Canis lupus familiaris: one gene and its partner. The protein of the gene in region 1 interacts with the protein of each later gene in a pairwise test. Links are inferred from orthologs where the notes say so. Each region holds a gene or a part of one and is shown on either strand. Other genes may lie near its edges.

Region 1 (3,569 bases):
AGAATAGAATTGCTATTGCCCTCAAAGAGACTAAACTTAAATAGAAATTAAAAAGTCAGTAAATACACACACACTTTTATGTATGCTTTGTCTGACCTTGAACTGACTTTTATGGTCCAGTTGCTAAACATTCAAATTGCTTAAATATTCACATATTAAGTCAACACTTTTTTTCTTAGGAATTAAAGAGTTCAATCATACCTAGATCCCAAGTATACATATTAAACAACTTATTAAACGCAATTTTACATCCGAAATTGTTTTCTAGAGGTGGTTTATTTATTTATCTTTTTATCATATTAAGAGCAAATACATTTTTTGTTCATATTTTGAAAGAATATTAGACACTTTGCCAATTAGGCTGAGTCACAGGAGAGCAGATCGAAAAAGTAAGAAATGTATCTTATCCTGTTGTGAGATCAGTCTTCTGTCTTTGCTCTCTGTTTCTCCATATCTAACATAGTACCTGAAAAAGTAGTTATTCAGTAAATGCTTCTGGTATGAATGATATGATTGTATGCATTTGAATGAATAAAGTCAATTTAATTCTCTCTTACATTCCCCCCAGATTCCCAGGAAGGAAATTACAAGTCAGAAGTCAATAGCAAACCCAGGAAGGAAAGGACAGCTTTTACCAAAGAGCAAATCAGAGAACTTGAAGCAGAATTTGCCCATCATAATTATCTGACCAGACTGAGGCGATATGAGATAGCAGTGAATCTGGATCTCACTGAAAGACAGGTAAAGTTGGACATTGTTGTGATATGGTATTTTTAATTGTGTTGAGTCAACAATCTTCTCTCGCCATTTTTGAAATATCTAGATCTGTGGTTCTTAAATGCCATTTGTAAGATAGGTGTTCTGTTCCATGATGAAGTTTTGGCACGGCAAAATGGCAAAATTAAGGATAAGATAGCAGTGTTTTTAAGGAAAACTACATTTATTCAGTTTAAGGTATCATTCTTTATTCTGTATTTGTGTCCTTCCTATATATTTTGGTTTAAAATAGTATTTCTTGTATATAATGATGGCATATAGTGAGCAATTCTTTTTTGCTTATATTTTAAAATCTCCTTATTTTGGTATAATAGAAAGCCAGCAACCCCATATTAGTTTCCTCTATTGCTCAGGACAGGGTTTGCTATGTTGCTGTAACACATTAACCCCCGGACCTCCATGACATAACAAAAAAGTTCACTATTTGCTCACTCTCCATACTAACTTTACAAGTTCAGCATTATAAACAATCAGTCACTCACGGACCCAGGCTGACTCTCTGGCATCTCAACATGTGGTGTCCTTGGTAACCACAGGAGGTAAGAAAGAGGTGGAGGTTCATGCACTGACCTTTAAATGTTTTCACCCGGAAATGACCCATGTCACTTCCATTTATACTCCAAGGTCCGGAAATCATCCGTGGTGCCACTTAAGTTCAAGGGGGGCTGGGAAATGATGGGAGCAAGGGCCCATAGGTCTTTCGTAAATATTTCCCAAATATTTTTGAACTGATATTGGTCTCAAAAATTTAAATTTCTGACATTGACTCATTTAGAGAACACTTTGCAATTATGAACGATCTGTGGACTCCAGTTGATAAAACCTAAAAGGTCCTTTCTTGGATTTTACTTGCTCCAGTAGTGCTCCCAGTGCATTCTTTTTATGGATTCTGATTTGCCCTGGGAGAATCTAGCTTACTGATGGTTAACAGTTGCTAATCTTTAGGAAAACATTCCTGAAAGGCAAATCCAAACATCTTTATGGACAGTGCAGTTATGATTGGCACTCCTAGGACTAGAGTCTCATTTCCTTTCACTGTATGCACCTCCTCCAGGGATCCCATCAGAACCAAAGAAATACCAACAGGGTGTGGACGTATGAATACTATCTTAGGAGAGCAAGTTATTTTATCCAGTTTCTTAAATCATCTGCTTTCCTTCTGTTAATTTCTGGATTTCAGCTTTTGTAGGGTATTTCTGGGGATTGGGAATATAGAGAGAGACACTTTTATGTGGTTTTATTTATTGGCAGTTTATATTTTATTAAATATTATGACTAGTGCCTAAGTTGTGAAGCACAACATTTTCTTTCCCTTGAACTTCACAGACAAACTCCTCTCCATAAGTGTACAACATTTGGCATGCTGGAAAGGAGAATCCAAAATCTACATTATTGGACATCTGTTTTATTTTCATTTTTTTTAAACTGGGAGCAGATAAAAAAAGAAGGGAGGGAAAGAATTACATATTTTAATGTTCTTATCCATAGACAGTGAATTCTAGGAAATGCAACCATGTTTTCTATGGTACAAAAAGGAAACAAGCTAAGACTTGTTTCCAAGCTATAGAAATAATGGGATGCAGTACTATACTCTTAGCCAAGAGGGAATGTGAAGATTCTGTGCTTGCTATTCTGGGGATGGCTTTGGTTACCTGTGATTATCTGATTATAAAGCAGAAGTTTCCCTTATGGTTTAAAATAATTTCTTTTAGAAAAGCAATTCTATAAATTTGGTCTGGCAATTTTTTAGGTATTTTGGATATGTCTTCCTGAGTTGTCATTTATGGAAAAGGATGATATGTAATTTTAAGCAAAATACACACACATACAATTCTAATCTTTGTTTTTGTTTATCAAAGGTCCCTTTTCAATTTTGTTATCAGTTAGCCTTGACTATGTAACAAACATTCAAAAATCATAGTGGTTTCAACTAATAACCGACATTCAATTTGCTCACAGTTTTGTGGGTCGGGGATTTTGACTGGGCTCAGTTGGATGGTTAAGCTGCTTACCTTACCTAAATCTCCCATAGAGCTGTAGTCACGTGGCGGGTTTGGGTTTGAAGAGCTGGTTGGTTTAAATAGTCTCAGCTGGGACATTTGTCTCTGTTGTATGTGGTTTCATTTTCTTCTAATAGGCTCTCTGAGACTTTTCAAATGGGGATAGAAGCATTGTCAGGAATAGAAGAAAAACTCCAATGGACCAAGGCTTTCAAGGACTCTCGTTATCTCATATTTACTGATGACTCATTGTCTAAAGCAAGTCATATGACCAAGCACAGTGTCAATGTAGAAGGAGACCATTTAAGGAATGGATATATGGAAGGAAGGTGACATTTGCTGGAGGCCGTTACCGAAATGATCTAACTATAGTGTCATAGGGGAAAAAACAAACAAACAAATCTTGAGATATAATTGGATTTTGAAAGAATTGAAATTTTATATCGTGAAGATTTTTTTATCCTATAAATCTTTATTTCCAGTTTTTCAGATTAATATGAAAAGGAGATGCATACATGTGGAATCTAAATTCCTAGTCAAAGTTAAGTCTTCAGAGGGCCACTATGTGACAGTGAGAAAAATTGAATTATTATGATAAAAATTTGAATAGAACAACTAGATTTTCCATTGGAATTTGGATTCTTAGGCAAGTAACAATCTCCCTAAGTCACAAAATGGAAATTAAAGCTAACTTCTCTTGCTTCTACTCAGGTTTATGTGTTATAATGAATATGAAAGAATTTCTAGCATAAACTGAAAAACACAACTGTCAATCAGAGGAAGGAAAACTTT
Region 2 (3,378 bases), on another chromosome or scaffold:
ACCGTCTTATTTTGTTCCACAGCACGCACACTCACTGCATCCTGGCTGTCGGCCCTCAGGCTGGGCCTGGGTCCGATCTCCCTCAGGTCCATCCCCTTGGGGCCTGGCTCACAGTAGACGGCTGATACAGTTATGCAGATGGATGTTCTCTCTCTGAAGCACAAAGGGGTCCTTCTTTCTTAGAAAGGGCTGTTTAGCAGGTTTGGGAGCTGATTTTGGAAGCTCTAGCCCCAGAAGAAGCAGGGAGGAGGACTTAGGAGCCTTTGTAGTTAGAAGGAGGGGAATGCTGCGCTGTGGGGTCTGGAGAGCTCCAGGAGCCCCTCTCGCTCTCAGCAGGGGGGCACTGAGCCCCACAGGCTGGCTGCCAGCTCCCAGCATCACAGTGCTGGCCACAGGCCCAGATGGGAAGACTGTGGGGAGAAGCCACAAGCCGGACATCACTTGTGCTCCGGCGGCAGCCTGTCCGCACCCCAGTCTCCTGTTCAGGATAGACCACACCCACAGGCAAGAAGGGAAATGGACCTGCTGTTCTCCTTAGACGCTTTAAATGTGTTTAACCACCCAGAATATCACTAAGTGTTTTTGCTAAAATGTTCTTTCTGCTCAAATGACAAATCCTCCTCTTGGGTGAGGAGCCAGTCTGCCCCTTCAGCCCCTGGCCCTGTGATCCTGCAGCTGGGAGCATCCAGGGCCGGAGCAGGGTGCTGAGCTGGGGTCCCCTGAAAGCTCTCTCTCTCCCCATAGTGACCTTAGTGTCCCGAGCAACCCCGCACGGTCAGCGCAGTCTCTGTCCAGCTACAACCCCTTCGAGGATGAGGACGACACGGGGAGCACCGTCAGTGAGAAGGAGGACATTAAGGCCAAAAAGTTGGTGAACAAACGTTTCCCTCTGGTTCCCACCTCGCTCGCTCTCTGTGTCTCCTCTCTCTCTATCCAGGCTCTTGCCCCCTTGGCACTCACAGCAATGCATGGGGCCTGCAGGAGGTGGCTCAGCTGCCGGCTGGTGGACGGTCTCTGGCTTCTCGATTTCTCAGGGAGGGGGGCACCTATTAACAATCTGTAGTTGTTCTTTCTCTGTCCTCCGTTAACCCTCGTCGAGGCCCTGGCACACCACCACAGGAAGACGGGTGTGCTGGGCAGCCCTGCGGGGAGCCTGACTGCACTGTGATGCTGAGGGGCTGTGCTCTTGCGGAAGGAGGTCCCTCGCCGGGCCCCGGGGCTCCTGCAGCCTCCCTGGGCAGGGGCTGAGCCTCCAGGCAGGGCCTCGTGCCTCTGTCAGTCCCATACTCAGGGTCCCTGGGTCCACCCTTTTTCTTGCAGTGTGAGCAGCTATGAGAAGACCCAGAGCTACCCCACTGACTGGTCGGATGATGAATCTAACAACCCGTTCTCCTCCACGGATGCCAATGGGGACTCAAACCCATTTGACGAGGACACCACCTCGGGGACGGAAGTGCGGGTCCGGGCCCTTTATGACTACGAAGGGCAGGAGCATGATGAGCTGAGCTTCAAGGCTGGTAGGTGGGCTCCCCGACTGGCACCTGGGGTGAATGCTTCCAACCTGCTAGGGGAGTTTTTTTTGTTTTGTTTTGTTTTGTTTTTAAGTTTGGGAAATTCCTGCTAGCTGCATCTGTGGGTCGTCCTCCAACATTTCAAAAGCAGCAGATGCTCAGTGCCAAACCTTAGAAGGCATGAAGAGTGCCCTGGTGCTTTTGCCCAAGGCACCAGTCCCAGCAGGATGGAGGGCTGGGCACAGCAGGGCACTGGGGCAGGGGATGTTCATCGCCAGCACCAGCTGTTTTCCCAAGTGCTTCCCAGGTGGAAGCAGCCAGCCTGTGGGTCCCCAGGGGAAGGTTTTCTCCAGAGACCCCAGCTGGCAGAGGAGCCCTTGGCGAGCCACCTTGCCCAGACCCCGGGACCACACTGAGTACCTCTGGGCCACTCAGCTTCATCTTTGGGTGCCTTTGAGCCTTCCCCCTGCAGCCACATGGTATACTTTCTACTACCGGCACACCTTTGTTGCCAGTACCTGAACTTCGTTTTACAGAACACTTTGCATCCAGATCATGGGAGCTCTGTGTACACAGACTCTCTGGGCTTTGTCTTTTTTTTTTTTTTTTTTTTTTTCTATGCTAGTTGCAATTCGCTAAAATGGGTTTCAACCATTAGCTTGAAAGCACTATGTTAGAGTGTGTCCGAGGAGGAAGCACAGGTGCCTGGTGCCAGAGGGGGCCCACAGAGAGCCAGGTCCTCCTGCCTTGTCCCCTCCTCAAAGCCATCCCAGACCCGCCATCACACCTCTGAGTGGGAGGCCGGGCTGGAAGGCAGCACGCACAGGCTGACACCCGCCCTGCACTGGGACAGACCCCTGCATTCAGCCGACTGTGGGCCGGAGGGCCGTGTCTGTGCCTATCGGCCTCCTGCCCCCCGCCCCTGCTCCACAGGCCGGGCAGCTGGCCTCAGACACTCAAGCCCAGGGTTGGTCACCAGGCACCCCTGTTGGTTGTAGGAAGTTCATATGCACCTGAACTCGACTTTGTCCAGGTTTTCTGACACCTGGGAGTCATTCTTCCCTAACTTCGTCAGTTGGTTTATTCATTGTAATTTCTAATTCTTTCTCCATCTTAGTTGTTGGATTTGTCTGCAGTTTTATGGATATAAATGTTTCTTTTTGCTCCAAGTGAATTGTTAAAAGCGAACTGATTCAAACCAATGTTTTAAATCACCAGTTCACATTTTACATCCTCAAAGCTCCCCTCTTCACTGTGTTTTGTCTCTTCTGTTGCGACATCCGCCCAGCCAGCACTGTTTTCTTCAGTTGGTAGCACGCCCGCTCCAGTGCCCTCTGCTCCTCTGGGTCTCAGGTGCCTGAGAAACCTTTCCCTGGGCCCTTTCCAGCCCCTGTGAGCGTCACAGAGCTCGGACAAGGGAAACACCAACTGTCCAGGGGTCCACAGTGAGCAGGATGGACAGGAGAAGATGGAGCTTTGCCCTCCCGTGCTCACTTTTGCCCCATGTTCACTGCTGGTGTTGCTGAGTTAGATCTGCATGGGAACCGGTGCTGAAAGAGTGGCCCGGAGGCTGGAGGAAAGCCATCCCTCACATGGGAGTGATGGCGGCTCTCGCTCACTGGGTGCTGGCCACTACCTGGCTCCTTCCCTGCTCTCACTTAGTCCTCCCAGCACCCGGTCTGCAGACGAGGAAACCTGGCCCCAGGGGCAGGGTATGTTGCCCATGAGCAGGGGCCCTGGGATTCGAATCCAGTAGCTCTGGATATCAGTCCCACAGGCCTCTTCACTTTAGCTGCTGTACCAAAGAGAGACAGGGAAACGCCTCCACAAGGCATAACTGCCTGGGGAAGAAATTGCCACCAAGCCT

Evidence for each region. The genes of interacting proteins can lie anywhere in the genome.
Region 2: the proteins of MEOX2 (region 1) and PACSIN2 interact in binary tests that used the Homo sapiens proteins (3 or more experiments, as listed by UniProt). The two-hybrid records come from large-scale screens. The link is inferred for Canis lupus familiaris from reciprocal best matches to the Homo sapiens genes MEOX2 and PACSIN2.

The regions. Positions count from the first base shown.
Region 1 is NC_049235.1:30,321,200-30,324,768, reverse strand, and holds part of MEOX2 (homeobox protein MOX-2), read left to right. Parts: intron 1-568; coding exon 569-741; intron 742-3,569. UniProt on the Homo sapiens protein: Mesodermal transcription factor that plays a key role in somitogenesis and somitogenesis and limb muscle differentiation. Required during limb development for normal appendicular muscle formation and for the normal regulation of myogenic genes.
Region 2 is NC_049231.1:23,600,451-23,603,828, forward strand, and holds part of PACSIN2 (protein kinase C and casein kinase substrate in neurons protein 2), read left to right. Parts: intron 1-744; coding exon 745-867; intron 868-1,320; coding exon 1,321-1,517; intron 1,518-3,378.